Rattus norvegicus: one gene and its partner. The protein of the gene in region 1 binds, or shares a complex with, the protein of each later gene. Links are inferred from orthologs where the notes say so. Each region holds a gene or a part of one and is shown on either strand. Other genes may lie near its edges. The genes, in order: Per2 and Cry2.

The links.
Region 2: the proteins of Per2 (region 1) and Cry2 are in contact, whole or in part, in a crystal structure (PDB 4U8H), measured with the Mus musculus proteins. The link is inferred for Rattus norvegicus from reciprocal best matches to the Homo sapiens genes PER2 and CRY2. Residues at the interface, in NP_035196.2 of Mus musculus: Tyr1132, Leu1134, Gln1135, Asp1136, Pro1137, Trp1139, Leu1140, Met1142, Ala1143, Asn1144, Thr1145, Ile1149, Met1150, Met1151, Thr1152, Tyr1153, Gln1154, Leu1155, Arg1158, Asp1159, Leu1160, Val1163, Leu1164, Asp1167, Gln1168, Lys1170, Leu1171, Leu1174, Gln1175, Ser1177; in NP_034093.1 of Mus musculus: Trp58, Ser63, Ser64, Val65, Lys163, Leu166, Thr167, Lys169, Arg170, Glu215, Leu216, Gly217, Phe218, Asn330, Pro331, Ile332, Cys333, Ile334, Gln335, Ile336, Pro337, Asp339, Asn341, Pro342, Glu343, Leu345, Ala346, Lys347, Ala349, Glu350.

The regions. Positions count from the first base shown.
Region 1 is NC_086027.1:99,489,134-99,505,138, forward strand, and holds the start of Per2 (period circadian protein homolog 2), read right to left. Parts: upstream 7,861-16,005; 5' UTR 7,776-7,860; intron 7,746-7,775; exon of another isoform or gene 7,440-7,745; intron 504-7,439; exon of another isoform or gene 240-503; intron 1-239. UniProt on the Homo sapiens protein: Transcriptional repressor which forms a core component of the circadian clock.
Region 2 is NC_086021.1:98,852,371-98,868,388, forward strand, and holds the start of Cry2 (cryptochrome-2), read right to left. Parts: upstream 8,068-16,018; 5' UTR 8,066-8,067; coding exon 7,854-8,065; exon of another isoform or gene 6,143-7,853; intron 5,083-6,142; exon of another isoform or gene 4,485-5,082; intron 805-4,484; coding exon 696-804; intron 1-695. UniProt on the Homo sapiens protein: Transcriptional repressor which forms a core component of the circadian clock.

The DNA of each region.
Region 1 (16,005 bases):
ATGTCTCTGGGAGAAAGAGGGAGAGCCAGGGATAATATTTCTAGCAGGAAGGAAGCAGATGTCACTTAAGCGGGGTCAGGTCACATTAAGTTTATGCAAACAGCTAAAAGCAGTTAAGGACTCCATGCTGGGCCTAGGCAGTTACCACCACCCAAGTTGGTAGGGAAGAAGACAGAGCTAAGGAAACCCAGATCACCACAGGCTGAGGAAGAAATGCCTGGTCGCTCTCTCCTCCTGACCTCTCTCTCTCTGCCAAGCACACGAGGAAGTCAGTGGGCAGGGAACTTGCTGGCTCTTGCTAGGAGGCCAAGTGGCAACCGTACATTCTCTGAGAGGGTCTTAGAGGACACAATACTCCAACAGGCTTCCTTGCAGTCAGGAAAACACCAGTTGTTAATGGAAGGCCGAAGTTGTTAATGACAGCCCAGGTCGGGGTTGGGGATTTAGCTCAGTGGTTGAGCGCTTGCCTAGCAAGCGCAAGGCCCTGGGTTTGGTCCCCAGCTCTGAAAAAAAGAAAAGGAAAAAAAAATGACAGCCCAGGTCACACTACAATCACTATGTGCGCTCGCTGCATGTAGGATTCCATGCTGTAGATGAGTTGATGGGGTAGGACGCTCACCCAGGGCTGCATAAGGTTGGGGAACAGCCGGCTCCACACTAGCCTGACCCAGGATGCTCTGGTGGGATCCTGTATCCACGCTAAGCTTAGAGGTTTCTCTGCTGACTTGGCCTGAGTGCAGCATGAGCTCACCCTTCCCAGAGTAGACAAGGACAGGGATGCTTTCTAGACATCACCACCCCACTGCTCCCATAATTCATGTGAAATGAGCAAGGATTTCAAACTGCTGGAGAAACAGCAAGGTTTTCCACAGCCCAGGAAAACTCCAAGGGTCCCACCTGTTTGCCACAACAGGGTGCAGCAGTGACAGGAGTGACAGTGTACCAGGGTTGGCACTGGGGTCTCACACCCTGCCCAACTGCCCCAGGCCCAAGGAAGAGGACCAGCACTACAGATCTCCCCCACTCGTGCCACAGAGGGACAAGTGGAGAGAGGGTATAACCAATGGAAAGATGCTAGCAGACAAACTGTGGGGCAGAACAGCCTGAGGTCCACACCAAGAAAGTGGCCACATATGCAGGAAACAATGCAGATCACACATCCTTTCAAAACCCCGGTGATGGCATCATAAGGCTCAACACAATCCTTTACGCAGGACCTCCCCAGGTCTTTTCCACCGTGGAGTTGACTCCAGGGAGATGGGAGCCATGTTGTTTCTGGGAACATGTTCCTCGTCATGAGTGATGAGGCCTTGTTTGTCCACAATTAACAGACAAAAGCCAAAGTGAGGCTTTCGAGAAGGTTCCAACAAAGTATCGCCATTAGCATGAGGGAAGACCAACCCAGGACAGAGGGGGCAGACGATCCCTACTTCTCCTCATGCACGAAAGTCTACAGGAGACAGTTTTGATGAAACAAGTGAGGAAAACTGAGATAACGCCGTAGGCCAAGACAAAAACACAACATCAGAACCAAAAAAAAAAAAAAAAAAAAGACACAGTTCAGTCAAGAAGGGAGAAATATCTTTGGTCATGGGGGATTTGTTGTTGCTACTGTTTTTTTTTTTTTTTTGGTAAAATAAAGTCTTTCTATGTAGATCAGAATAGACTTGAACTTGTAATCCTCCTGCCTGAGCTTGCCATGTGCTGGGATTAGAGATTGCAGGTATGTACATCAGACCTAAGAAGGTGATGACCAAGCAGAAGGGAAAGTGGCCATTTTCATCCAGGGAAAAAAACCTCAGAACACCAAGATACGCAGATTTTGATCTGTCAATCTGTATATACCCTGGTACCACGTACTACAAATCTAGAAGCCCCAGTTAAAATTATGTTTTATTTAAGAGTAAAGAAAGCGGTATCTATCTCTGACTAGGAAAATCAAACATGTGACCTATGAAGTAGGAAGGAGGGATTGCCAGGCAGGGGCCCCTGGAGGAACTGTTTACACCCAGTTCTGTAAGGAAGACAGACACAGAGAAAGGAAGGCACCCCAGAGGGACTTGCAGACAGGTGGAGTTTGTCAGCATCCCAAGTCATAGGAATCCTAAATGCACGAACTGCCCCAGCTGAAGTCAGAATAAAATGTGCAAGTTCTGGTCTTTTTTTTTTTTTAAAGCAGTTTTGAAGTTGTGCCTAATTCAAGGAAAGAGGAAAGAGAGGGGACTTAAAAATGCCAAGGCACTGGCTTCACAGAGAGGCCTTCCCACAGAGCTACAGGAACTGATGGAGAGATGCTCAGGCCATCAGCACAAGGAAAATGCTAAGGAAGAAGTCTTGCCCACTGTCATGGAACATTAGCAGGATGGCCGATGGTAAGATGTAGGATAGCTGGCTTCGGGAGCTTAGGAATGCCACCACAGAGACTCTCTGAAAGAGCATGTGACCTTTCCTCTTTCTAGGAACTGAGACACAGAAATGTCAAACCCCACATACAAGTCATGAGCGAGACAGAACTCAAGCAGTGTCATAGGCAGGGGGCGGGGCTGGGCGGGGCGGGGCGTCTCTGTATGGTAATTAGAGTAGTACACAGATACCTGTATAATGTGAGCATTCTGCCTAGACCCCTAGACCCCAGCCTCAACTTCCAGACTGAGCTACTGCCTCCACCGGGCCCTACCACTGTCAATACAGTAGGACAAGTGACTCTGGTGAATGGATGTCAGTTATGCTAGGCCTGTGATCAGAGGACGGATTGCCTAAAGAAGGGACTGAAGGCTCTTCGAGGTCTAGCTGTCCCCAGACACCTTTATTTATCCGCCCCTTGGTCTAGCCTTGCTCCAAAGACTGTGCTGCTCTTCCCTCTGGGCTTCAGCACTCTCCTCAGACACCCAGAGAACCTCATCATCCTCTCCCTGTAGGGCTTGTGTCAGGATGGTGTTTCCATTCCCCTGTAGAGAGCACACTGTATGACAGCAAGAGTTTTGAGTGTCTTCTGCGGTCAGAAGAACACACTATGGAAGAAACATGGCTGGGACTCTACACTGAAGAACACTGCACGCCCGCCAACAGATACGGGGTAGAGGGGGTAGGGGTAGGGGTGGGAGGGAATAACACAGCTTAGGGCTCTGCCCCACAGATGACTGTGTGCTTGCTGGAAGAAGCAGACTAGCACAGCCTAGCACTACCTACCAAACAGTTCTGTGCACCCACGGGAAGGGCTGGGATAGTAGAGCCTAGGACTCTGCAGCACAATTCTGTGCACCCACGGGAAGGGCTATAGGGGGGTCTAAAACACTAAAACCACAGGGGCACACCTGTGGACCCTATGCCAGGGATCCCTAGGGTGGCCTTCTAGTAGACTAGAGTGCAGGGGTATCCTGCTCTCCCAGGGCTCACCTTTGAGGTCAACAAGGAACCAGGATGCATAGGATATGAAAAATTCCTGGGAGACAGACAGAGTGGGTGAGCCAGGACTTGTGATGGGGTGCACATTTGACACAGACTTGCCACTTGTGTCCCCTTGGGCTGACTCCAGGTTCAGCATGGCCACCCAGTCCTACTGAAGCCCCGGGATTTGTTCACTCTTGACCCCTAATACTCTAGACTACATCTATCCCCTCTACACAGGCAGATGAGCAGCCATCTTTTTTGTCTTGGGTTATGAAGCTGCCAGCAGCAGTGTGAGCCACCCGTTCTGCCATACTCCACTAGTCCTAGGCTGTGAGGAGTCTCTTAGCCTCTGTGCCATGATTCCTCATCTTTATGACGGGGATAAAAACAGTTCCTTCCTCTTATTGGCACTTGGGAAAATTAAATGGTCTGATCTATCTGGAATCCAGAAATGACAAATACCAGCTTTCAATCTCGGGGCTAAATCACGACAGGGAAACAGGCAGGTCAGGCAAGGGTAGGGTCGGGGAGTTCACTGCCGAGCCACTAGTAGTGTCTCTCTGGCTTACATGCAAAGGGCTAAAAATGTACACCCCATTCTACCCAACCCCACCCTGGTGCAACCTGGATATTCTGTGTTGGGACTCCTAGTTTGTGCCTGGCAATTCCAATCCCCGAGCGTCTATGTGAACAGGGTCACTGTTGCCACCAGGTTACCTTGGAGAGGAAGGTAAACTTCTTTCACAGGGATAGCCAGGCAGACATGGCAGAAACGGAAGGCAACAAACTAAGCTAACTCGCCCAAAAACCTCATTATTCCAGAAAATGCATTGCTCAGCATAAGTGGCGCTAATGGACTGACACCAATTTGCCAAGTTAGCAGAAACAGTTGCTGGTCCAAGCAGACTTTGCCTCCTGCACTTATGATCCAGCACTCAGTCCTGGCTCTGATGGGTGGGCAGAAGCCCCTGGGAAAGAGGGTACTATGGTAGTCTCAGGGAGGGGTCTGGGAGGGAGAGGGAGAACTTGGCTGAGACCCTCTTAGCCTGAGCCCACACCCTCCATATCTATCCGTGAGCCTCTCCCATGGACAGCAGCCAACCTGAGGGTAGGAGTTAAGCTGGGGTTGTTGACCCAGTCACTCGGTCATGCTCACTCTCCTTGGCCAGACAGAGGCACGTTAGGGAAAAAAAAGTGCCCTGGGTGATGAGATCATGGGCCTGGGGTGGGGGAGGGCACCCAAGGCTGGCTGCTGGGAGTTCACAGGCTTGCTCTCTCAGCCTCTGTAACTAGCACTCTCCATAATAAATGGTTTAAAAAAAAAAAAAAACAAAAAAACCCCAGCAAACCACAAGGACAAGACAGGACCAGGAATGACAGCACAGCCTGACAACCAGCCTCCATTGCCAGTTAGGAACATAAGGGTCTCTCACCCTCACGGCCTCCTACTTAAGAGGGAAATGAATACATTTTCTGAGCGAAAAGAGTAAGGAACCTACTTCCTTAAGAGAAAAGTAAAGGGGTTGGGGATTTAGCTCAGTGGTAGAGCGCTTGCCTAGCAAGCGCAAAGCCCTGGGTTCGGTCCCCAGCTCTGAAAAAAAGAAAGAGAGAGAGAGAGAGAGAGAGAGAGAGAGAGAGAGAGAGAGAGAGAAGTAAAGACGCACGCATCATAAGATCTCAGTTTAGTATTTGTCCCTGAACCCTATGGCCAGCCGGCAAGAACAGCCCGAGCCTGGCTAATCACAACCCAGCAAACTCCTGACTGTCTTCCGACTTTATATAACAGGGGCCCGACGCCTGTACCTCGAGTCTGCAAGCCCCATGGTATTTTACAACCTCAAATATTATAACATGTTTTCTACTTCCTGGTAGGAGCCAACTCCCTGGGGCCTGCCTGCTGTAATCCGAAGAAAATGTTTGTCCTGTTAAATAAACAGCCACTCTCTCCATGGTGACGGTTGGGTAACGGAGGAAAATGTGGCCAGGGCTGTCCAAATAAGGAGGGGAAGGAGGCAGGCGGGCGGGGTGCTGACTCGATAGGACTTCCCCCACAGGCTTTTCAGTCCTTACCTATGTTGAGGTACCAAGCTGCAATGAATAATGTACCTAGGTGACAGGCCCTGGTGGTGGTTGAGGTGGGAAAGAGCAGTTTGAATGCTGGAGGGATCTAGGAAGCCCAGACCTTTGCCCTCGAGGACCTGAGCTGATCTAGGACCAGGTGTTGCAGGAAACAGGCCCTGTTTTTTCACAAAGCCCACTGTGCCAAGATAATTATGTGAGGGCTGGAGAGATGGCTCAGAGGGTAAAGACACTTGCTGCCGAGACTGGACAACCTAAGTTCGAGCCCTGGAACTAAGTCCTTCAACTTGTCCTCTGACCTCTCCGCACACACGGTAGAAAGTCAATCGTGTGACCTCCCTCCCTGCTTCGATCTTACTTTGGACTCTAGAGTGCCCTACAGTGACCGGCTTGGTAGGATTATATTCCATGAGCAAAAGACTTCATGTGAAGGCCGAATCCCCTGTGGGAAGTACAATGGTTTGGGAGCAGGCCAGCAGAGGCTCTCTGCACCTGCTCGTTCTCCCAGGAGTCTGGTGGTAAGCAGCTTCCTACAAGCGTTAGGTGAAGAGGGCTCCACAGGGCTGTGGGCTATGCGTTTCTAGTCACCTAGTGCAATCATAGTCAAGGGTCACTCCCATATCCAGCGAGGCTCTTTCCCGTGCCTCCAATCACTCACTGACGTCTCAGAGCTGGAGTTGATGATCCGCTGAGATTGGATGAACTTAGACCATTATAATAGGCCCCCACACTTCCCAGGGTTTTCTAGAAGGTTCCAAGTCTGGGAGAGGCTGTCTAAATAAAAGGAACCTTTCCTAGTCTGTTTAAGCGCAGCAGAGAAGTCTCACACGGAGACATTATGTGACACCAGCAGGGCTTTGGAAACTTCTCCCCATAGAAGTTAAGATAAAGGTCCACAGACACACAACTCCAAGCGTGAATGGGGCCAGATCTCAGAAAGCGCCTCAGATGAGGAAACTGAGGCCCAGGGTAAGACGAGGTACCCCGTAGCTACCAGCTGGCTGATACAAGGCTCCCCCGTTCGCTGCTCGGCACCCCAGCCTCCACAGAAAGCCCAAACTGCACCAGTTATGTACCAAGAAATCACACCAAGATGACAGTGACGGATAACCGCAGCCACCCACAGTGCCATTCCTTGAGGGCACAGTGTACAGCCACCACTAAAATAAAGGAGTCCTCGGCTTTTTTAGATTCCAACGACGTATAAAAAGTGATTCTCTCTGCATTTAAAAGCCCGATTTTTTTTTTTCAATGAAAGCCTTCAGGTACACAGACTCTGGTTCTCTTATCAGACAAATCCGACCTAGACTCCAGAGAGTAAGGCAAAGTGGACGTGTCAGGCTTGCATCTCTGGTAAGCATGTGGACCAAGGAGGGGAAACGGATCCTCAGACTGCCAGCCAGGCCTGGTTTTTACAGTGGTACAGCCTATCAGCCTGTGCCTCTGCCTCTTCAAGCTAGGGGTTACCCTGGATGATTTCCAGGGAGCCTTCTGGCTCCCTTGATCTGTATGAATCAGCTTTCCAAACTGGTTCCTTGTGTATACGTTACAGAAACCCTGGCAACCAGGGATCCTGGAGAAGAAGCAGGCCACCGCCCACCTCTTGGTCCATGTCTGCGCTTGGCAGCCAAGGTATGTCCCAAAGGATGACGTGACTGCTCCAGCTCAAGAGTGGACCTCTCCCCCTCCCCTGACACACACCCAGTCCATCTGGAGACAGGAAATGCTGGCATGGAGGATGCCATGGAAATCAGAGTGGGTGGACAAGGAAGGTGGTCTCTCTGACGACGGGGAGGGGCAGGTGTGGCTTGGCATTGGATATTTCTCTGTTTAACCCCTTTCCCACCTCTGGGAGTCAACGCCTACCAGTGGTCCTTCCTCAGGGCCAGACTTGACTATCTGGACTTATAGTAGTAAGCTAGCTCCTCAGGGGACCCTCTGGATCCATCCTAGGAACGTTTTGCACTCACCCTAGTTTCCTTGGTCATCACTATTGGAGTCGGCTCGCGCAGTCTGGTGTGGTGATCACTCAATGTCTCTGCGTCCTCGGACAAGATGCCTAACTAATCTCCCCGACCTCAGTGCCTAACCTGAGAAATGGGGGGCAGCAGTGTGCGCCTAAAAGAGGGTCACCGCGCAGTCCCATCTACATTCTGCGGAGTTGCAGCCGTTTGCACAGTCGGCAACTCCTGGCTCAGGACCCCAGCTCCAGCTGTTCGAGCCGCCGGTTACGTAAGCCGACCACGGCCGTCCAGGTCCGCGCCACCGCCCAGCGCCGAGCCGCCGCCCAGCGCCGCGCCACTCACCGCTTCGCAGCGTCCACCCGCGCGTCGGTCCTTTGCTCGACCCGTCACTTGGTGCGCTCGGCCTGCGCCGCAGCCGCCCGGAGCCGCTAGTCACTGTAGCGCCGCTGCCACCGCGTCGCCCTCCGCTGTCACATAGTGGAAAACGTGACCGCGCGCGTTGAGCCCGCCCCTCCGCGCGCCATTGGTCGCGGCGCCGCATCATTTGCATACTGGTGGGGCGGAACCTGAGAGTTCCGCGCATCGATTGGTAAAGACGCCCGTCGCTCTCTTTACATAAGACGCACATGGAACTCCATGTTCGCCGCCCCGGTTCCTCAATGAAGACGTTGCGCACTCTTGCGCCCCCCTGCGCCCTGGCGAGTAGGCTCGTCCACTTCCGGCCTGCGGGACTTCCATTCACCTGGCATGGCGGTGGCCCGCTCGTGCAGCCGGGAGTGGCGCGTACCATTGCGGCGCGGGGGGGAAGGTTCTTGGCTGCTGCGCCACTCACGGCCGGCGGAGTCCCAGGCCACCGGCCTACCACCTGCAGCGACGTGAGCAGCCTCAGCAATCTGAGGGATCGAGAAAGCTCTCATCCGACACCTTTCGCTCACCCAGCCCAGTTCATTCATTTCCTCTCCCATTCATTCATGGCGAGGCGCCGGAGGACAAATAGGGCGGCCCCTCTGGATCTGCTGCTGCGCACCTATGCAGGACAGCCTGGTTGACCCCAGGCCAGGACCCCAGGCTGATGGTCGTCCTACGTGGGCCAGAGCACATCGCTCCCACTTAGCCTTTCTTGTTTTTGAAATCGCGTGTTGCCAGATTGTGTTGATTCAGGAAATAAGGTCATGAGTGCGGTGCAGAGATACAAAGGAAAGAAGTGATTTCTTCCTGCCCTCAATGGCATAGGGAGAAAAGACTGGCATTCTGTAGGGAAGCTTAACCAAATGCGGTGGTGTAGTTTATTAACCTTACAGGGTATGTGGAAGCGGAGCACTTGAGAATGGGGTAGATGGGACATGCATCTGGAACAGCAGGGCTTTTCTGAGGTGGAAGCTATAGACACTCGCTAGTCAGGGGAGGGAATTCCCCGGGGACAGGACAACCTTGCTCTTGTGGAACCTTGGCTGAACCTACTTGGCTCTTTCAAGAGTACTGTCTGGAAGACTATTAAGCATTCAGTCCAAAGGGTCAAAGGAGGGAGTAGAACTTTCCCTGGAACTGGTTTGAGGCCCAAGACTTACCTGTCTGACATAGACATTTTAAAGGCTCTGGAAGTGTAGGGTGTGATGGGGGAGGCAAGGTTGTCATGTCTTTGAAGGGTGCAAAGGTTACTCGTCGTGGCCTAGGAACTCGAAGCCTAGTAGCACCCGCTATTCTGAATCTTCCCCAGGTGTGTCCTAGGAACTAGGAATGGAAAGAAGGCAAACACTATCAACCAAGTCTGTGAACAAACTGAGTTGCTGGTGCACACAGCCAGCTAACCCACATTCAAAAATCCCTGTGAGTGAGGCTCTTCTTTCTGTCTGCCTGGCAGGACAGGCATGCAATTCCTCAGATGCGGGGGAGGGGGGTGGGTGGGAGGGCAGGCAGAGACTAAGTTCTTTTCGGCAGCCCATCCTGAAGGAGCCCTGGGAAGCCAGATGTTGACTCACACTGCAGGGGGCAGGGCAGCACCTCTGGTTCCTCTGACATTGACACCTCACCACACTCCCCAACAGGCACAAACACTGAGCAGAGCTGGGCCAAGCTGCACTCTGCACACACCCAAAGGGCCTTTTGTTTCCTCACTTTCATTGACGTCAATGGTGGCTGCATTGTTCTGGAAACAAGAGTACACAGCTCATCCACCTGGCAAAGTCTTCTTCATGTTCAGCTCTTTCTTGTCTTGCACCACATTTGGCCTGCAATGTAATGTCACGGTTTCTCCTTACATTTAGCCTTTGCTATTTCCACCAGTAAATATTCTCGAAAGCCATAGAAATCAATTCTTTCGGAAACTCAATACTGTGGAGACTCTAGAACTCTTTGGGATCTATTTTGTCTTCGGTTTCTCACTCGGTTGGATTCTCCTTTCCAATATATTCATATATGCCACGAACATTTGCTAACACCTGAGTTTGGAGAGAAATGCAAAGTGAACCTCCTCCTCCCCCTCCCCTCTCCTCCTCCTCCTTCTCTCCTCCCCTCCTCCTTCTCTCCTCCTCCTTTTCTTCTTCTCTCCTCCTCCTCTTCCTCCTCCTCCTTTCTTCCTTCCTCCTTCTTCTCCTTCCTTTCCTCTTCCCTCCTCCTCCTCCTCCTCCTCCTCCTCCTCCTCCTCCTCCTCCTTCTATTTTTAAGACAGTATTTTACCCTGTATCCCACATTACCTTGAGTTATAGATTGTTGTGAGCTGCCCAATGGGTGCTGGGAACCACAACCTGAAGGGCAATAAGTTTTTTTAACTGCTAAGCTATCTCTTCAGCCCTGAAGATACAGTTTTAAAAGAAGCCTCCTCTCAGCCTAAAACTATTTGCTGTCATGTCACGCAAGAAGAGATTGAAGCATCAGCTTTCCTGGTAATAAGGTCATATAAGAAAAGCCAATGGCCTGACTGAGATGAGAGCTGTGACTTTTGGTGGGGGTGGGTAGTCTGTGAATGACAGTTCTCAGAGTTGGTGCTGTAGATCAAACCTGTGCCTTGGGAACTTGGGAATTGGGTTGCAGGTCGAGGTTTCCCAAGACTCTTTCCAGGGTTTGAGCTTCTTTCCAGGGTTTTGTGGCCACTGGTGTCCCTCACAGTTTTGAAGGAGTCTACAGGAAGACAGCCATCACAAGACAACTGTGTCCAGGGGGTGAGGTGCTCCCCATGTCTTGAGTACCCTTTATGCCTGAGATATTACCCAATGTCTGAGGCAATGCCCTGTATCACTTCCTTTTATTTTCTTATAGAACGTAGTTTTATTTTATGTTACCCTGCTGTTACATAGGGCATAACATTTTCACAAGGCTTTTTTGGGACTACAATCAATAATTAGCAAACACACAATATAGTGATCCAACTCTCTAAAGAACAATCACTGGACAAACCAGATACCCCCTCACATGTGCACAAATCTGCATGGAAAAGTACTAAAGTTTAGACTTGGACTTGTGTACTTTATTTCTCCTTCCTAGCGTATTAAGAAAGGACATGCATTTTAATTTGCCCAAAGCAATGCTTGTATTCTGGCAGAAACATGCTACTTCTATCACAAGGTAAAGCGAGTACCAGAGCTACGAAGGCAGGAGGTGTAAGTGAATCTTTATTGGGAAGGAAGTTGTCAACTTAAACAGCAGCAAATGAAGAATGCATAAGGAAATGCCCTGTTGTCACAGACAGATGTAACCTCCAGAATATGTGACACAGGAGACATTTCAATCTGTGACCCCCCAAGCCCAAATGCATTAAGCGCTTTCCATTCAATCTAACACTTCTGGATTCCTATTAAGAAGGAATTTGTAGTAAGAGCATGGAAAAGTTGCTTCTGAAAGGAAACCCCCAAGAAAGTTCAGAAAAGGAATGTAGAAATCATGATGTTATTATTACAATCACTTTAAATTGTAATGCACTACCGTTTCCATATCTTCACAGTAATACAAAACACAGTCAGTTGCAGAACTGGTTCAGATTACTTAAATACCAAATGTGCTCTACACAAGTGTCTGGAAGTCACTCGTGTTTATATGAAATGAAGCTATTGATACTTCTCTACAGCAGTAACTGCACACCAGGAAGGCGGAGACAACACAAACCAAGGGATGGAGTTTTCCCAAAGCTGCAGTGTGAAAAGACTATAAACAGTTGACCCCATACACATGAATGGGCTTCCTTGCTAGAGGAAATCCAAGTGGAATAAGGACTGGAGATGTAAAAAGGTTTTCTTGAGGGGAAGGAGGTTGGTGTCCTGGATGCCTTTAGTTCTCAGCCCCATCCGCTGCATCACATTCTTCTCCTGCACTGTCTGATGTCCATAATGTTAAGTTGTCTCTAAGCAACTGTGTGACGAGGGCGCTGTCTTTGTAGGAGTCTTCATTCAGTGTTTCAAGCTCAGCAATTGCTTCATCAAAAGCCATTTTAGCCAGTGTGTAGGCAGGCTCTGGATTATTAAGGCTCTCATAGTAAAATACAGGAGAGTGAAGAGCCAGCCCCAGGCGGATCGGACGGGTAAGTTGCATCTCTTTCTTGCTTATATCAAATGCCTCTTGGTAGGCTCCTTGGGGATTTCCTATCGTTTGTTTTCGATCATCACCACAAGCTACTTCAGCAAGACACCGGAAATAATCTCCCTTCATTTTCAGATAGAAGACCTTACTCTCTGGACTAAGTTGCATTGGCTATCCTTTTATTTTAAAATTTTGGTGTGTGTGTGTGTGTGTGTGTGTGTGTGTGTGTGTGTTTTGACCGCACGTATATCTGTACACTGTGTATGTGTCTGGTACCCTCAGAGGTTCTATAACCTCCAAAATATAACACTAATCGCCAAGGGCTAAGTGCTCAAGCACCAGAACCAGTGGGGAATATATCACATTCAAACTAAAAATGTCCCATGTCTGAGACAATTGATCCTTGGACCTGGGGTAGTCTCCATGCCCAAGGTGATCCCCTCACAGTCAAGGTGAAACCCTGCTGTAATTTGGATCTGGAATGTTCTCAAACACCCGTGCATTAAAGAATAGGTCACCAACATGGTACTGTTGGGAAAGTGGTGAAACCTTGAAGGGGTGGGTCTTATAGGAGGCTTTAGGTCATTGGAGAAATGCCCTTAAAGGGACAGTGAAACACCTACCTCTTGATCTTCCTTTGATACCAGTCCTGACATCAACCGTTTCCCACATGCTGGTTCGATGATCACTTGCCCTTGCTACAGGCCAAAAAGTAACAGTGAGGATCAACCGTGAACTGAAACCTTCAGAAGGGCGGGCCCAAATAAACTTTCTCTCTTTGTAAACCTACTGCCTCGTGTATTCATTACAGTGATGAAGCTAGCATACACTGTGTCCTGAGCAACACCTCGGCTAAGGTAAACAGCACACCTGAGCGCACCTCAGGGGACCTGCATGTCTGAGGTGATTCTCTATATCTGAGGTTGTTCTCCATAATTGAGGTGATCTTCCATGTTGGAGGTGACTGTCATGTCTGTGTCTATGGTAATCTTCCATGTCTAAAGTGATGCTCGATGTCTGAAGGGAATCCTCCATGTCTGAGGTGATCTCTGTCTATCCTCGTGTTTGAAGCGATCCCCATACATGAGGATCTTCTTCCCTCACAAGGACTTTGTTATTAGTCAAGGGCTGATCTCACTGTTCTTCTAAGTCATAGGTTTCTCCTAGAAGTCCCTCTTGCTCTATCCTCATGTGTCCCCAAGAAAGTCACCTCAGTTTTCTTCCAGCATTGTTAGTGGCACCGAATGACAGCGTCTCTGCTCTCTTCCCCTCCCCCTAACGTAGATGTCCTGGAGTAGCATCAGGAACTGGAGTCTTTCATGCCCTGAGGAAAATCAAAGTTAGCCACCAATAGGGTATTTGATCCTGGGTGACACAGAAGAAAGCAGGAGGCTGAGGCCAGAGATTCACATTCATGGATGTCTGTGGCCATTAGGGACCCACCTTGACTGCACAAAGCTGTGACTGCCCTCTACTCACAGGAGTCGTGCTTGGCACTACCGTGCCTTCTTTTACTTAATCCTCACAGCAGCATGAGATGAGTGCTCACCCCCACTGCTCCTCTGCAGAAGACATTCCCAGCTCTCAGTGTGATAGGAATCGTGCCTGCCTCTGATAACCTTTGTCTGCAGCCTCACCGCTCCACCCTACAGAGCCTGGGAAAGCAAACGGCACAGGTTATGAATGACCAAAGTCTAAGCTCCAACGGTCTGCTTCTGGAATATTCTCCCCAGCAGGAAACTCCATAGTGACGTGACTGACAAAGTGTTCCCTGACTTCTCCTGATTTCCTTCCAAACCTCTAAAGGCTAGCGGGAAAGTGTTCCTCGTGGGTTACTACCCCCAACTCGTCCCTTTAGCCATGTCAGGCTGGTATGAATCTTCTAGCAGGACAAGCTCCAGGGGCACTGTGAGTCTTGCTTGGTTCTCTGCCTACAACTCTACCCTTTAGTCAGGTCTTTTCCAAGCCTGCTGAGTACCGTGTGGTTTGGGGGTTGTCATCTCCTGCTGACTTCTTAAAGCCTGACATGGAAAACACTACTAACTGTTCCCAGACCAAGGCTTGTAGAAAATAACAAACAACCCTGACTGAGCTGCCCTCAAAAGATCCCCCAAATGAAACACTGGAGATCTGACACGTTTTTGTAAATATCTCCTTAACCAAGATCTTGCTCTGGAATTGAACTTCTTACCATGCATGCTGATCTGTTTTTGATACTGCAACATAATATCTGAGAGAAGCTACTTTGTAAAGAAAAGAAGCTTATGTAACCCACAGATTTGGAGGCCGAAAGTCCAAGATCAGGTGGCCTTTGGATTATGGCTTTGGTGAGAACCTTGTATTGGATGTCACTGTGGCAGAAGCACACCTGAGAAAGAGAGATGACCTCACCAAAAATGAAGACAGGGACAGGATAAAAGGCCATGACCCTAGCTCTAGAACTGACCAAATGTGTCCCATGCACCCTACCTTGATCCTCAGTGGCCTCAATGACCTAAGGACCTCTCACTGTCCCTACCTCTTGAAAATGTGCACAGCACTTCCCAATATTACCACTCTGAGGACCAAGCTCCCTATGCATGGGACTTGAGGGATGAGTCGCATTGTAAAACACAGAGTGTATCAAAAGCACACCTGTCCTTGTGGGATCATAATCAATATCACCAGGGATCATTGAACTATGCCTTGCCAGTCAAATCTGGCGCAAGGCCAGCTTTGGCATAGCCTGTGAGTTAAAGGGGAAGGGGAGAGTGAAGAAAGCCCCAGGATGCTACTGCAACCCTACAGAAAGAGCCCATTAGCGGAAACGGTTTACTATCTGACCCTTTGCAGGAAAGGTTTTCTGATCCTTGCTAATCACCTAATATTTGGTAGCACTAGTTACCAGACTTCTTAACTCTAGACGGCTGTAATGGGATTGGGCAAAGAGGGGATGAGGCACCAGCATCACTGGGTGAGAGCAGTGACAACGAAGTGGACGTGAAGAAGGTGGCTTGTGTTTGATGCTGGACCTGGACATATGGGAAAGGAGGGGTAACAGGTTTAGGAGAGTTAACCTCCCACTTAAGACAATTTTTGAAAACTTTAGGGCTCCTAAGGCAGCTTAGGAAATTTTTATCTCCTATAGTACTGGGTAGATTATTGAAAAATCAGACCTAGAACTAGGGGACTGGGATCTCAGCCCTGACAGGCATCCAGTGTTCAAATGTAGCCCTGTGATATAGACCTTGTGGGTAGTTAGGCTAAGGACCTCACCCCTGAAGGGTTCAAGTCTCCTGAAGCCTCAATCCGGCAGGAGCCACTACTTCCCCAGAGGACCCTGCTCTTGCCTGGTCCCTCCTGTGGGGCAGGTGCCTGCAGGGTGGTATTTGGCTTAGCCTCTAACCTTCCCTCGCCTCTCAGATTACAGGCCTCCAGGGGCAGTTCAGAGCCTGCCAGAGCCTAAATCTGCCCTGACAGGAGCTTGTCCACTAGCCACAGAGCTGCAGAACTTGGCTGTCCTGTGGCGGGAGGCCCTGCAGGCACGTGTAGGACAATGGATCCTCACTGAACGTGGGGGCTGGAGGGCAGGGCTCAACTGGCATTGGGCTCTGGCAGAGGCACCAGGAACTAGTTCCACTCACTTCTGATAATGACTCCAAGAAGGTAGTAAATGTTTAACCACTGGTTTGCTAAAGAGGGGAGGCAGAAAAAGAAAGCTTTACAGCATGTACCTATTTCTATAGTGAAAGGAAGGAAGGAGAGAAGGAGGGAGGGACGGAGGGAGGGACGGAGGGAGGGAGGGAGGGAGACCCACTGTGGTCATATCTAAGCTGCCACTCTGACCCACTAGCAAACTGGTGACAACCAAGGCCATACAGATGGTGAGACACTTAGTCCCCAGCTCTGGCTCAGATCTGCATGGCCACTAGAGCATGTCCCTAACAAATAAGGGTCGTCTCTGCTCAGTTGCAGTGAGGAACCAGCTTTCTGAGACTCATTAGCCAGAAAGCAATCTTCCCAAGTTCTGTTAAGAAGAATGAAAGTGGGACCATTGTCACGAAATACATCAAGTGCTCCTCAC
Region 2 (16,018 bases), on another chromosome or scaffold:
GACTAGTGTTCATAGGTGTGTACAGAATAATGGGGGATGGGGTGGGAAGACACAATATGAAGCTATTTTCTCTGACATTAGATTTTTCATATAGAACTTGGAGTGCTACTGAGGATGAAGGAGAATGGTCTAGAATGTTCTATGCATGAGAACTTTTGCCTCTGCTTGGGCCTTAAAACATGCATTTTAAAGAGGCAGGAGAAAATGGGCTTGCGTCCAGTATGGCGCCAGAAAAAAGATTTTATTAATTGCTTACTGCAGGGAAACAGGGATGGGTCCCTCAAATGCCTGACTGACTTTTTCCCTAATAAGCAGAGCAAGTTGAGGTGGGCAGCACCCCTTGTTAGACAGGAAACCCCACCCTCAAAGTCTTGGCAGGAACAAGCTCTAATAAACATACTGGCTGGAACCACAGAAGCATAAGGAAGCCAGCGGCAGCAGGGTGGAAGGACTCACCACCCTGCGTGTCTGGGCTGAGTTGGGATCTTTCCAACACAACACTGATTTTACAGTTTTCCCTTAACAGTTTCCACCCTGCTGGCAAATTCACCAGCAGTCCCTGCTTCTGACCTCCCTAGCAGCCATTTTAGTGGCTAGACAGGCACCAGTATTTCCATTTTGCCAGCCAGAATAGCATTTCACTCCATGGGAAGAAGCCAAGCAACAGAAGCTCCCTCTCAGCCCTTCATGCTCACCTTGAAAAGCCTTGGGAACACATCAGCTGGCTGACCCCGGACTACAAACAGACGGGAATTCAGCTTTCTTAAGCTTGTGTCCAGATCTTCTAGAGACTGCAGTAGGAACCTGTGGATTCCACAAAGACCTCGTTATTAACATGGGTAGGGGCTAGGGTAGAGGTGGTAAGCAATCTTTCTCTCTCTCTCTCTCTCTCTCTCTCTCTCTCTCTCTCACACACACACACACACACACACACACACACACACACACACACACACACAATTCTTCCTTAACAAAGCCACTATTCATGCCAAACAAGTTGGTATGGTGTGGACAGAGCTGGAGGCCTAGCCTGAGCTCAGCCGAGGAGTGATGGGGTAGCCTCCTGCTTATTAGCTAGCTGTGTGATATGAGGCAATGACTTAACCTCTTTAATTGCTTTCTCATCCATGCCATGGAATTAAACAGTAGAGCCTATAGACTTGCTAAGATGTTAGTTACCTCATGAAATTGCTAAGAAATCAAATCAGATAGTGCATGGAAAACCTGAGACACAGAGCCTAGGCATTGAACTCGCATCCTCACTATGAGCTGATCTTGGTGCTGTTTTATATGTCTGTTAAATACTAAAGCCACAATCACAGGCTGAGCCATCTCTGAAGGTTCACTTTCCATGCCTCTCTGTGTCCCACAGTCCCTTGGGCAGCAAGCACAGTGTTACTTGTATAGCTATTGATGTAGTTCAAAATCCCAGTGACAAATGGGTACAGAGTGAAATATCCTCTCTTGCCTTCCCAAGGCAACCATGGTCATCAGTTTGACTATGGATTTATTCTAATTCGTAAGTACTTTCATAATTTGACTCCCTCAACACATTTCGAAGGAAACGGAACTATCCCCATTTTGCAGACAAAAAATCTGACAAGAGAGGTTAGGGAATTTAGCAAAGCAGATAGCTATTAGGTGACTGAGCTGGCATAGTGGCCCAGGCAGACCAGACTCTAAAAGCCATGTTTTTGTTTTTGTTTTTGTTTTTTCTAGTGATCCATTTCTAAATACTTTAGTCAAGGGCTGAGAGTCTCCTGAGCCTGGAACACAAGCCTCGTCCAGACAGTCTTCCATATGCCTATCTTCCTCCTCAGGACCCCAGCCTGAACAGGCCGAGCTTCTCATGTCATGGTCCCTCCGCAGAACCTGCTGTAGATCCCTGACTACTGGAGGCTTACAGAAGCCTTGACGGTGCCAACCAGAACTAGGCCCTGCCTGCAGCCTCTGACGTACATGAAATGACATAATCCCATGTCCAAAGCTGCAGACCCACATTCCAGCAGGAGCCCAGCCCAGAGCATCACTGAGCTAAAGAACACATAGGCTTACCCAATGGGTTGAGACAGGAGACTGACAGCCTAAAGGTTGCTTTGTGGCTCCTCAAGTTCCCCTGCAGTGAAATTTCCAATTTAGAAAACCTGACACCCTTTGAAGGCTAAACCTGTTTACATTTGAATTGCAAGCCTGTTTAAATTGGTCTTGGGGGGGGGGGCGGCACTTTGCTGGCTGCCCCTAATACACATACAAAATAAAAATAAAGACTGAGGGGGCAGATAGCCTCAGCCACCAGAAACAGGAGGCTCCACCAGGCACAATTCCACACCTCAGGGCAGAGGTCCTTCCCATCAGAAGATCCCAACGTGTCCAGCCATATACAACTCAACACACCTGAGAACTTCGATCGGCAGTTACCAAGGCTGAAATGCACAGGAAATATAGATTCTAGAGTATGTTGCAAACTGTTTTCTATACAACTTTATTTTTAGAACTCATTTACTAAAAGGAGAGCTTTCAGCAGCATCTCTATAGCAAAGATGAATACCCTTGTCTTCTCTGGCAGGAAGCAGAAGGAAAAGTCTATAGCTAGAATAAAACAACGGTGCAATTCACAACAGCAACAGCTACATTTACCAAGCACTCTCTGAGCAAGGTTCTATCCCACTTGCTTTGCATATATTATTTATCAGACAACTCTGTCCCTGGATGTCCTCATTTTACAGATGAAGAAACTAGCATCAAAGATTAAGTAATTTCTCCAACATAACATACCTAGTAGCTGGCCAGAACTAGGAGTCTACAGCTCAGTGTTCGCTCTCAGCTACCAGGCTCCTGGACCTCAGCAGTGAGCACACCCACCGCTCTGAGCAATACACACTTGAGGTGGGTGGTACTGCCTAGGGTTCAGCTCTTAGAGAGTACTTGAGCTTAATTAAAGGCTACCATCTTTTCTGTAGATCTGTGCTTCCCAAAGTGTGGTGAGACTCAGAGCCCTAGCTGTGCATGACCAGGAACTTTCTAGAACACACATACTTTCTTGGGCTCCATCCCAGACTGCCACAATCAGAATTTGCCCAGGAATTCCCTTATCCATGAAAACTGAAGAAGAACCACTGTGTCACACACTTCACCTTGACTTCAATATCGGTACACTGTACACTTTTGTTTCAACTTTGCTTCTACTAGGTTCTACCCCAACCCCATCAGACTCAGGCTGTTAAGAAATATTTACCTAGTTGGGTGGCGGTGGCCTTTATTTAATCCCAGCCCTTAGGAGACAGAGGCAGGCAGATCTCTATGAGTTGGAGGCCAGCATGGTCTACAGAGTGAGTTTCAGGACAGACTACAGTGAAACCCTCTCTCAAGCTCTAACCACCACCACCACCCCCCAAAAAAGGAAATGCTGAACTTTTTCCACCATCCATCCTCCCCAAGATGAACTCAGAACTGCTTCCCAGGAGGCAATAGGAAGGAGAGAGGGAGAGCCCTCGGTAGTTTCCAGCGCCCAGCCAGCCACAGACAGGGAAGCCACTGACAAGACATCGCCTCTTGTACCTGCCAGGTGATAGCTCTGCAAAGCACCAAGGAACTGGAGCAAGTTGCACCCGGAAAGTGCCCACCTGGCAGGCTGAGGCTGCCTTAACTGGGGAGAACTGGCCTTTCCCTCTGGGCTTTCTTTGAACCCTCCTCTGCACCTGCTCACTGCTCACGCACTGGAAGGCGTGATGCTGGGGCTGATCTTCACCCTTGCTCCAAGTGAAGATCACAGGGCTAAAATACAGAGCACACCCCCTGAAGGAGCAGTCACAGCCCCTACAGTTTCCGTCAGAACTCCCCCTTTTGAATAGTCCTTTCGCCAGAATCACATAAGTCCTCTGGGGCCAGGGCAGACAGAACTGGAGAAAACCAAATTGGGATTTCCAAAAAACACAGGGAAAACTATCATCAACTCCAGGAAGCGATCTCTTCAGAACAAGTGAGTTCCATATGTCCACTCAGAGAGATCTTCTCTGGGGGATAGTAATGACTGTGTTAAGAAACACTTGGTTTGGATGGGGATTTAGCTCAGCGGTAGAGCGCTTGCCTAGCAAGCGCAAGGCCCTGGGTTTGGTCCCCAGCTCCGAAAAAAAAAAAAAGAAAAAAGAAAAAAAAAAAGAAAGAAAGAAAGAAAGAAAGAAAGAAAGAAAGAAAGAAAGAAAGAAACACTTGGTTTATCTGTTAATAGAGTGGAAGGTGAGAGTGGGTGGGTAGGTTAGTGAATTCTTCCTGTCCAGACATCCTTGACCAAATTCTTCTGCTTCAAGCAAGCTTATCTAACCATAACAATATTATAAGCTGGCAAACTGGTAACAAGATATTAATAGATAGAAATTCACTTCCAAGAAATTAAGAGTTTAAGCCCCACTAAAAGGAATAATCTAATCCCACAGTCTGTAGCAGGGGCTCATATAAATAAAAATATGTTTTTTTTTCTTTTGCAGGGTGCTTAATTTTAAACAACTTGATCAAAGGTTTTACCCCTGTTGGGCAAATGGAAATGTGCTCTTGGCTTACAGAACAGTGAGGCCTCTTGCTGGAGTTACAGTGTGAATAGCTCAATAGCTCAAGGAACACAAATCTCTCCACCAGCAACTACAGATCCCACCTCCTCTTTGTGGCCTCCCAGTTCCCAGGCCACCCTCTTTGATGGTCCAGCTGTTCAGCTGCGTCCAGCTCCTAAATGACAAGAGTCCCCGTCCTATATCATTGGCTAACTTCTGAGAGAAATGACTAAGAGAGAAGACACATCTACTAACTCCCTCTGCTCTGGAAGCTCCTGGAAGATGCAGCACAGAGCCAGGGACAAAATAATTTCAACAGAGTAGGAGGAGAATCCTGGCTGACATCTAAGCTGTGACAGAGAGAAGGTAATTAAAACTGGATGGAGTAGGGGCTGGGGATTTGGCTCAGTGGTAGAGCGCTTACCTAGGAAGCGCAAGGCCCTGGGTTCGGTCCCCAGCTCCGAAAAAAAAAAAAAAAAAAAAAGAACCAAAAAACTGGATGGAGTCTCACCCATTTTTAAAATCTAAAAGCCATTCACATCTGCCTTTTGTTTTGGTTTGTGCCTGCAGAACCTCCTTTCTAGATACAGCATATTTGGGAAGGGAAGGACAGAGGAAAATGGCGAAGGATGCTAGGAAAACATCCCTGGGAGCCACAGAGCTACTGGCGGTCCACAGACTTCCTATTATCACTAAGGCAATGAGTATGGCAACCTTATTCCATGCCTACATGTGCACGCGCGCACACACACACACACACACACACACACACACACACACACACACACACACACACTCTTTTTCTTGGTTGCCTTTCTCTTTAACTAACGCTGTGGCTATTTTAATCTGATTCCATCTGCAGGGAGGGAGTCAGTGTGACAGAGGTGACAGATTCAGATCTCCCACTTCTGCCAGATGGCCCCACCCTTCTAGAGAGACAGTTCAGTGTAGGCTGCAGAAGCAGTAGGGGGCAGGGCTGTTATACTGCAGCCCCATTCCCTTAGACTACTCCCAAGTTCCGGAAGCAGCGCCGGAAGATTACACATACTGCAGTTATGCAGAAGGCAGCTGACAGGAGGGGTGGGGGCACGGGACTCCTTGATTCCAACCCTGTGCACCACATAGCATAGCATTGCTCTCAAACCCTCGGGAGCAAGGACAATGGCCAGGCTGCTGTGGCGTGCCTCCTGCCAGGCTCAGGAGCAGTTACCACATTCGATCTGTTTTGTGTTATTTCACCTTGTTCTCCTAAATGCCAAAGCTAATTAGACTTCCGGTCAATGCACTGAAGCAACACACACCCTGGGTTGCCTGACTCTCTGTAGTTCATTAGTGCAGTACTCCTGAAGCTTGGCTGAAGTAACACCCCTCCCCCACCAAAAAAAAGGCAACCCAGACCAGAGCAATTGGATCAGAAACGGGGGAGGGAGCCCAGGAAGCTTTCAAGGATCTTTAAGTGATTTCAATGTGAGGCAAATAATAAAAACACATCTGTAGTTTTTACCTCCCTCCCCCCCAACACACACACATGCCCATCTTATTTGGTTCATGGTGTTTAGGCCTCCTCCATTTATTTTTACTTGTCTTCCTCTGCTCAGATGCAGTCTCTGGAGGCTGTGCGTGCACACCTGAGCCCCGATGGTTCACTGCCATGCCCAGCAGCGGCCTACCAGCTCCAACCCCCGAAATCACCTCTTGGCATCTGCATCCCCACATGATTTGAGATGTCTGTCGCCCAAGCATCTGAGCTGCCTTGTCCCTTTTCTGCTTCATTCTCTTGAAAAAGTGCAACTACAAAAGGGTGACCCACAAAACCCCATAAAACCAAGTTCTTAGTATAGTGGAGTTCAATCAACTTCGTGAAGGAAAAAAAAAGGCTCTTTTATCTCCACTACCACAAAGGAGTAGGCAGTCATAGACAGCACTCCCCCAATCCCAGTAAAAAAAGAAACATCTTCATGACAACATAACAAATAAGACTGAGATTCTATTGACTCCAACCACATTGGCACACTGCCAAAAGGAAGGGGAGGGCAAAGTCTGAGGCCTGGTTTAATGTCCACAGTAGAGATGGTCATTCCCTGGTGTTTGTCAAATCTAACCTCCTATCTATGGAAACTGGAGCGAGGCAGAGTAATAGCACAGCCTGAAAACAGTGTGGGCTGGCTCTCCACTGTGTAAATGGGGCAGGCAGGGGCATTTAATAGATGTTCTACTAGGAATACTTGCTCTCCTAGCAAGGCAAACCCCTTTTGGAGAGGAAAGAATGGATGCTGAAAGCCACTGTCTCCTGGGAGCTACTCTGCTCATCTGTGCAACAAGGCCATAAGCAAACATCTCTCTAACAATGCAAACAAACCAAGCTACTGTAGGAGGCATTTAAAGAGTGATGGGTACATGATGTATCAAAACTTTCTTGTTTCTGAATACTGGTTACAGAGAAAATACATCAGCTACCAATTTATTAATCGTGTCACAGAATGCCGGGAAAGGGCTCAACCTCCTGGGAGTTATAAGGGGTTCTTGATATTGTGGTTTTGTTGTTCCTTACCCTTACATCAGCTCCTAAAAGTCTCATCTGTAATGGTCCAACTGTTCTCAAAAAATTATTTCATGATAACAGGAGGAAAGGCTGACGGGTGGTGCAACCCTCTTTGAATATCTTTCTAGCAAAGTTACAATACAGAAGGGATCCTCTCAGATGGGTTAAGGGCACCTCCTAGGTAAACCCACCTTCCAGCCTGGAACCGTATGGTGAAAGAGAACCTGCAAGTCGTCCTCTTAACTCTACACACTGCCATGTCATGAATGTCCTTTCCCAATAAATGTTTATAAAAAATTAATGAGTTAAGAACACAAAGTGCCACTAACCGATAATGCCCTTGAGGTCTTTTTAATACTGGCTAATGCTAAGCTAGATTCCCTAATCACCACCACCGCTGTCTGTGAAGAAAGGTTATCCGCGATGGGAAAAAGGGGGGTGGGGAGAGTCAAACCCGAGGCTTAGGGAAGCCCTTGGGGGTGGGGTTCGGCGAGGAGCTCCTGCTCTTGAACGCTTTTGTCCCCTCCTACAGCACACCCCTAAAAGCCCAGTCCCATTCTGCCAGGGACTGGCTGCAGGCCAACTTCGCGTTTCTAACGAGAGTCTCGTCAGCATAGAGGGGTCGTGACCTCTGTTCCCCAGGCCGCCCCGGAGTTCAGAGCGGGCCACACAGGGCAAAAATGCTGTGTCAGTAGCCGCAGGCTGGAGTTCCTGGGCCCGGGGGAGTCCGCTCAATGTTACCACCACGCAAGATAGGGTCCCCTCACCTCCATCGGTTGATGCCCACTGACGAGGAGGCCGCGAACCACGGGTCGAGGATGTAGACGCAGCGCACACAGCGCGCCCCGCGCACGGCAGCTAACAGCGCGGGGTTGTCGTGGAGCCGTAGTCCTTTGCGGAACCAGTGCACGGAGGACGCGCCGTCCGCGCCCATCGACTGCGCGGGGACCGTCGCTGCCACCACAGCAGCCGCCGCCATCGCCGCCCGGACTGGGTCTTGGTCTGCTGCTCCGCCCCTGGCCACACCGTCGGTCCCGCCCAGTGCCCGCCCAGCGGCCTATAATGCAGCCTCTCCCTGCCATAGCTCCACCCCAAGGAGCCTGAATCGTCTCTGTGATTGGGTGACACCGGGTGGGTCCCTCCCTCTGTTCCATTGGTCGGCAGCGCCGACGCAGGCCCCGCCCCCTCACGTTCCCACCATGTGTGGTCCGGGCTTGGTAGCCACCGGTCGGTGACGCAGGATGGCGCTGTGCCCGCCCCGCGTGGGCTGAGTCTGGAGGGACCCCGGATCTCCTACGCATTTCGCGTCTCCTACGCAAATAGGGATTGAGGTGACTCCGGCCGGTGGCTGACAGATCTGTCACCAGGCCCTTTCTTGCAGTACGTTGTACTGTTCATATTCGAGGCTGGCTGAGCAGTGATTGCCTTACACAAACTGTCCTATTTTCTATTTTCATCCCGGTTACGTTCATTCCACAAACACGAATAAAACAGATGCTTGTTAGTCTTATTCTGCAGATGAAGTAAGCTTAGGGCACTCCAGTTTGAATGGCTTGCGCAATACCATGAACCCAGTAAGATTCCGCTCTGAATCTTTCATTTTCAAAGCTTCTGCCTTTAACCCACTTCCTCGAAGAGAATCTTGGCATTTGCATGCAGAAAGGCATAAGGATGAAGGAGAAGCCCTTGTATGCGGCAGAAGTGGGTTTGGGAGAAAGGGTAAAGGTTCCAGAGGATGTGGGTTGACACAGTCATTATGTCCTCAGATGAATTTATTTCTTTTACGTTCTGTTTAGTAGACAGTGCCGTTATTTTGCACAAAACTCTTTACTGGATTTCATGTGGGAATCAGAAATGTGCAGGGTAATATTCTCTTATGTCTCCATTGGAAACCCTTTGATTCTTTGGAGATTCTAGCACAGGGCTTGCCCACGCTGTACATGGGCTAAGATGGGCTAGTTGGGATGGAGGGCTGGCGCTATCAAGCAGAGAACTGTTTCAATTTGTCCTTGTGTTGATCCCATGTGTAGACCCTTCCCCATCTTGGGAATGAGCAATGAAAGAATCTAGAATTTAACCAGCAAGTTAATAGCATTAATTGGCACCACTCTCTGACTACAGAGTCATTACAATCCTCTCATTTCCAGGGCTTTGGACATGCTGTTCCCTCACATAAATCACATGCCCCAGCCCACACCCTTGAATCTCCTGTTTTCCCTTTGACAGCTGTCATTTCCAGTTTCCTGGGCCCAAGCTCCAGGGGCTCATTTCATTTGGTTCTCCTTCTCCCCCCTCCCCCTCCTCTTCCTCCTCCTCCTCCTCTTCCTCCTCTTCCTCCTCTTCTTCTATCTCTGGTCTTAGCACATAGTACTGGGATTTCTTAGCTATTGTATGTCAGATCCATCAGACTCTAAGCCCTGGCATGCAGGGGCCTTGGCAACAGTCAGTTACATTTCCCAGGTCTAGCTCAGTACTTGGCACTGAAGGATCACATGAATCAAACATAAGAAGCTCAAACTGGCCAGCGCCTTAACGTCTATCACAGTCTCTGCCTGACTCTCTCCTTTGAGCCTCCTCTGCAAGTACTTGTTGAGTGAACTGATGTTTCCCTTTACTTTTCTTTAAACATTTGTTTTTTTTTCATTTTTTTTCTTTTTTCTTTTTTTTTTTTTTTTTCGGAGCTGGGGACTGAACCCAGGGCCTTGCGCTTGCTAGGCAAGCGCTCTACCACTGAGCTAAATCCCCAACCCCTTTTTCATTATTTTTAATCTCATGTCTGGGTACAAGTGTGTGCCCATGAAGGCATGTGTCTAATGGACTCCAGCATAGTGTTTCCGGGGGCTGAGAACTACCCGTGGGTCAGGTTCTCTGCAAGAAAAGTGCATACACACTGTTAACCTCTGAACCATCTCTCTAGGTCCCCCTTTCTTTTCCTTTGAGGTATTGTACGCCTTTCTCTTTCTTTTGTCTCCTTGGGTCCCCACAACACTGAGGGTCTGCAAGGAAGAGAACAGGGAGGGTAAGGAGGTGGTCCATTCACAAATGACTGTTCAGGGAGTAAATTCTTCTCTTCTCTAAAACTCCCATTGTGCTGTGTCTGTTGTACTGTGAGCTCTCTGCAGTCAGGGGCTGCCCTATCTTGTTTATGAAGAGGTTGAACTCAAATTCTGCTTGCTTCTCTGTGACCCTGGACAAGCTGGTCGAGTAGAATGGCAGCGGGCAGGCAGGCCCAGCTCTGGACTAATTGCAAGAACTTACGTCTGATCTACAGGTATGAGACAGAGAAGGCTAACTGACTGAGAATGGCTTTAGCTGAAACATCAAAGCCCAACCCCAGTGACACACTTCCTCCTACAGGAGCCACACCTCCTAATCCTTCCCAGACAGTTCCACCAACTGTGGACCAAGCATTCAAGTAATGGAGCCTATGGGGGCCACTCTCATTCAAACCACCACTAACAAGTAGTTCTTTTAACCTCTTAGTCACTCCAGGCTCCCTTTCTTAGTAGATACAGCAGGGGTGGTAATAGTTTCTTGGGCACAGTGAGAAGCTGTTATTCTGGAGACCAGGCCCTGCATCCAATTTTGCCTTCTTTGCAACTTCCAGGCCTTTTCTTACATATGACCTGTATTCCATAAATGACCCAGTGAATGAGACTTTTAATCATTTAAAAAAAAACCTCAAAAATTACAGCAATAATAGAAAACAAAGATAAGCCTAACAACTTAGCCATTTCTCATGGACACTATCCATAAACATCTGAGCCAGAGGGAGGGGCAGTGTGGCCTCAATTGCGTGTGAAGTGTTTCTATCTTGCTGTGTCACCATGTTTGTTTTGTGTGGCTTGCGTATTCAAGTTGATAAGGATAATTCACCCCACAGAATGGATGCCCAGTACTTGGGTAAATTACCTGGGCAACACTCAAGGGCCAGAATGTCAGTTCTGGCACCTGAAAGGACACTGGAGGACAAAGTCCACTTTGTAATTTTGTGCGTTAAAATGAGTACGGAGATACCGGAGTGAGGGCACACAAACCTGCACATGACTAAAGACGCAGAAATTTGAATTCTATTTTGGTCACCTCGGAGCTCCTGGCCTCCCTCACTAAAAGGACTGCTCCAGCTCTCACTAAAGGCAGAAGGAGAGGAGGACCCAAGGGGGGGGACCTGATACTTCAAGGATGTGATGGTACATCCAGAAAGTGAATGCTGTCTTCCCTGACGATGTTTAAGACAAATCATTCCTGTTTTGTTTGTTTCCTTTGGTCAAAATCCTCTATAGAGATCATACGGGGAAACTTTTCTGCTTTGGATCTGCCCTTCCAGTAAATATCTGATGATTGGTGAAAATGTGACGACGCAGAGGGCGGGGAAAAGCGTGGCGAATTTAAGGCGCTCACGCCCTCTAGTGGTAGGACTTGGGAAGCACGAGTCCAGCAGCCTCCAAGAATACACCCCCCCAAAATAATATTTGTCCTTTCAATTATTCAGTTTGAGGAGCTGCTAAGCTTTCTCTTAGTTCGGTTTGCAGCTCTACCATTAACTAATGAATGGTGTATTTATTTACTTGGGCGAGCTTTTTAATTTCTCCATGCTCCCTTCATTTGAAAAACAGAGAGGATAGCCGAGCAGACTTAGTGTCACATGCCTTTAATCCAGCTCCCTGGAGGCAGAGGCAAGTGGATCTCTGACTTTGGGGCCAGCCTAGTCTAGAGCAACTTCCAGGACAGCAAGGGCTACACAGAGAAACCCCGTCTCAAACAAAACAAAAAAAAAAAAAAAAAAAAAACCCCAAGTACAACAACAACAAAAGGAAAGGAAAGGAAAGAAAAACAGAGACAGGAGAATGATAGGTGCTGTGTAGGACGAGAGCACGGTAACTAGACAAATGGCTCATAATTGAGACTCCAGAAGCAGATAAAAATCAGTGGACACCGTTCTTTGTATGTCAGATCCTTTGGAACTGCAGTTACAGGCAGTTGTGGGCAGCCATGTGGGTGTTGAGAACTGAGCCTGGGTCCCCTGCATGACCTAGGTAATTTTCCAGCTTCTAATCCTCCTGCCTCCACCTCTCAAATGCTGGAATTACAGATGTGTACCACAGCACCCAGGTTTTTATGTAATGGTGGGAGTAAAAGCCAGGGTTTTGTGCATGACAGGCAAGCACTCTACCAACTGAGCTATGCCCCAGGCCCTTCCCATTTTTTGTGTATGAGTTATTGTCAAATATGTAAAACACAAATTGACATTTTTAGCCGTGTTACATTGTCCCCTGTAGAAACCCTGTACCCAGCAAGCAGCAGGCCACCATTCCTTCCTGCCCAACACCTTAGTTACCTCTGCTCTGTTGCCAGCTCCTAAAGACCAGTCCCCATCACATATGTGGAGGCACACATCTGTCCTTTTGGGTGTGAGTTTTCCCACTTTGCATGTTTCTGAGTCTCAGCCATTGCAGGGCTTTGGGGTCCGACTTGGGTTTTAATAACAAAGACATCTGTATTGTATAAGGCTGCTGGCCTTTCTCCTGGGGCAGTCTCTCAACAAGCCGCCAACTGCCTGGCTTCTCTACCCTGGCAACCCTCAGCTTGGTTCTCACTGCTCTCCTTTCCTGCGCTGTCCCATGATGCTTCTATCCAGCTTCTGCTCCCCCTCCCAGCTTCAGTCGCCAGCACTTTCTTGCTCAAATACCACACTTCTTTCTTACACAAGAGAGTTATTAACATGGTGGGAGAGACTCCTCCCCAGGGTACCTTGCCTTTCTTTTGGGGCAGATGAGGCCCACAAACACTTACACATCCTGCCAGCCTGGTGCCACTGGCCTAGCAATTAACATTTGAGAATACAGGGACATTCCTTATGATATGTGTGGGGGTGGGTCACCCCAACATCTCTCCTTTTTAGTCCACAAAAATAGCTTTATTTCTACCATCAGTAAACTAAAAACAATAAGAACAGATATGATAACTATCAGTGTGAGACAATGTCCAGTCCATTTGTCCTATGTTGGGGAGTCCAAAGTTCTGTAGAGGGTTTGCGTCAAATGAGCACAAGGAACGGTCCTTTTAAGTTTATATTTAGAAGACAACCAAAGGAAATTTAAGATCTTGAGCTTGTGGCTATGATAATATTATCAGAACTCCATTGATCAATGTTAAAGCTTTGAACTTTTGAAGCCTATCACGAGTCTAATCTTCAAACCCATCAGAAACCTGAGAAGAATACATTTCACCTGTGTCAATAGGACGTGCAGGGTGAGCTGCTTCCAAATCTAATAAAAATGACAGAGACTTACTGGCTACCTGGCCAGTCATCCAAGCTCCTTTGTGTCTGTGGGGCGTCCATCTTGTGGTTACCAGGCCAGATGATTTGATGAAGTTTCCTGTGAAGTGGGAGCTTAAGGGGCACTGTCCGTCCCATTTTGTCCACTTCCCCATGTCCTGCTTGCCCACAGTTTGGACAGGGTGCTGCCAGCAGTCGAGGTAAAGAGCAGTTTATAGCCCAGCGTCCAGCTTCGCCACATTTGAAGCAAGTTCCAGGTGGAGGTTCTGTGCCCATCATCTTCGCTGGAGGCGATCAGTGCTGCTGCCAGGAGCTGATGTGTCACTCTGTCATGGAAAGCCTTTTTATTTTTACTGAAACATCTTAAATGCCATATTCTACAGAACTTTGGAGTGTTTGAGGACCACCTATCTATCTAAAGTACACCTAAATAGACAAATTTGTCTGTTTCTAGTTACTTTGTTTTTGCTTAATTTTGAAAACATATACAGGAGGCTAATAAGGCCTTCCCCCCAGAATAAACTACACTCATACCTAGCATGACTACAGGTATAATTCCGAATGCATTAAAGGGTTTGATTATTTATAGGTGAATGACTACTAACTTGTACTTCTTTCTTTTCTTTTAAGATTTATTGTTTCATACATGTGAGTACACTGTCACTGTCTTCAGACACACCAGAAGAGAGCATCAGATCCCATTAAAGATGGTTGTGAGCCACCATATGGTTGCTGAGAATTGAACCCAGGACCCCTAGAACAGCCAGTGCTCTTAACCACTAAGCCATCTCCCTAGCCTTAACTTGCATTTCTTATTCTTAACAGTTTCATATGACTAGCACTTTACCTTGCATTTCTAAGTGAGTTGCACTCAAGTTACATGCCTTAAACAAGAGCTGGATCATGTGCACAGTATGTTGTTGCGAATATAACCTCAAATTTCTATCCTCATGCACAAATCTATACCAGTCTAAAATATTTGAAACTCGTTGCTTTCTTAGTCTAAAAGGAGATACAATAATCCACCCTTCTTTTCCCTTCCCCATTCCCCCCAACCTGTTTCATCCACTGACACTTGGACACTTGTTAGGAGAGAAAGAAGGATAGAGGGGGGAGAGAGAGAGAGAGAGAGAGAGAGACAGAGAGAGAGAGAGAGAGAGGGAGGGAGAGAGAGAGAGAGAGAGATCCCTGAATCCAACCTCTTTTCCTTTGTTTCTTCCCTGACCACAACCCTTAACAAACCACAACCAACCCCCTTCAATGACAATGACATCTATAACCCAGCGAACCACCATCCACCCTGGGGAATGAGGGTGCTTTGTTCTTTAGATTGCATCCTGCTGTCCTGGGGTGATGATATCTTTGGGAACCATAAGAAAATTGGGATGCTGGCCAAGTCCTGGGATTTGAACTATATCTTCTGGAAGAGTAGTCCATGCTCTTAACCATTGACTCCTCCCCCAGGGGAGTTTGACTTTCTTTTTGGGCAAGTGAGGCCCCGACAGACAAACATTCACACATCCTGCCAGCCTGGTGCTACCGACCCAGCAATTATCATCTGAGAATATGGGGCATACCTTACGGCATGTGGTGGGGGGCTACCCCAACACTCAGCCATGTGTTTTCTTCTGTAGATAGATAGACGTAGCCATGTGCCACACAAAGAGGACTGGGACAGCAGCAGACCTCACAGAGTACAGCGATCATCCCAGAAGATAATAATGGAGCTCTAGAAAGGAATGGGGACCCATTAATGGAGCTGAATAGCTCCTGACAGCCAGTGATGCTATGACCTATGTAACATGGACACAGGCTTCCAAGGCACTTCTGGTGTAAGCAAACCACTGTGCCACAGTTACAAAAGTCTAGGGCATGACATGGCAGGATGAAGGACCATGGTGGTCTCTGTGTTTTCCATACTGTGCTTGGTACAATGGTTTTGGGGGCACACTCTCACCCTTCATACAGAAGGGGGCTTGGCCTCACTCTCCTGATGTATCAGGAGGCCTTGGTGAGGAAGTGGCTACCCAGCTGTGGGTAGGTGATGAGATCACCTAATGGGACAGACTCCTGTCATAAAGTACAGCATGTTCTGTTTCTCCAGCCATCTGCTGACGGGCACAGTGCCGTGTCGAGTTTGGGATTCTGTGTGTAGTGCCACTGTACATATTGGCACCCTTCTTCCCATGCAGATCCGTTGAAACATGGCATCTATGTCAAAAAATGCTCCCATGTAAATGTACAAGCCAATGCTTTTATTATAGCCAGAGCTGCACAGCCGCCTCCGCCATCTAATTTTAGAGCATCTCCTCTCTCCTCCCACCTCAGAGGGAGTGAGTGACAGTCTGAGGCAGCCGCCCATCTATTTCCTGTCTCTAGAGGTTTGCCAATTCTAGGCATTTCACACAAACACAGTCGCACAGCATGTCCGTGCTGTTTCTTAGCTCTCTTTGTTTGGTTGGTTTTTGAGACAGGGTCTCATGTAGCCAGAACTGGCACTAAGATTCCTATGTAGCTCAGGATGGCCTTGAATTTCTGGTCCCCCTGCCTCTACTTTCTGAGGGTGACACTTGCACATGTGCACAACACCATTGTATGTGATGCTGGGTATAGAACCCGGGGCTTCATACATATGAGGCAAGCATTTTACCA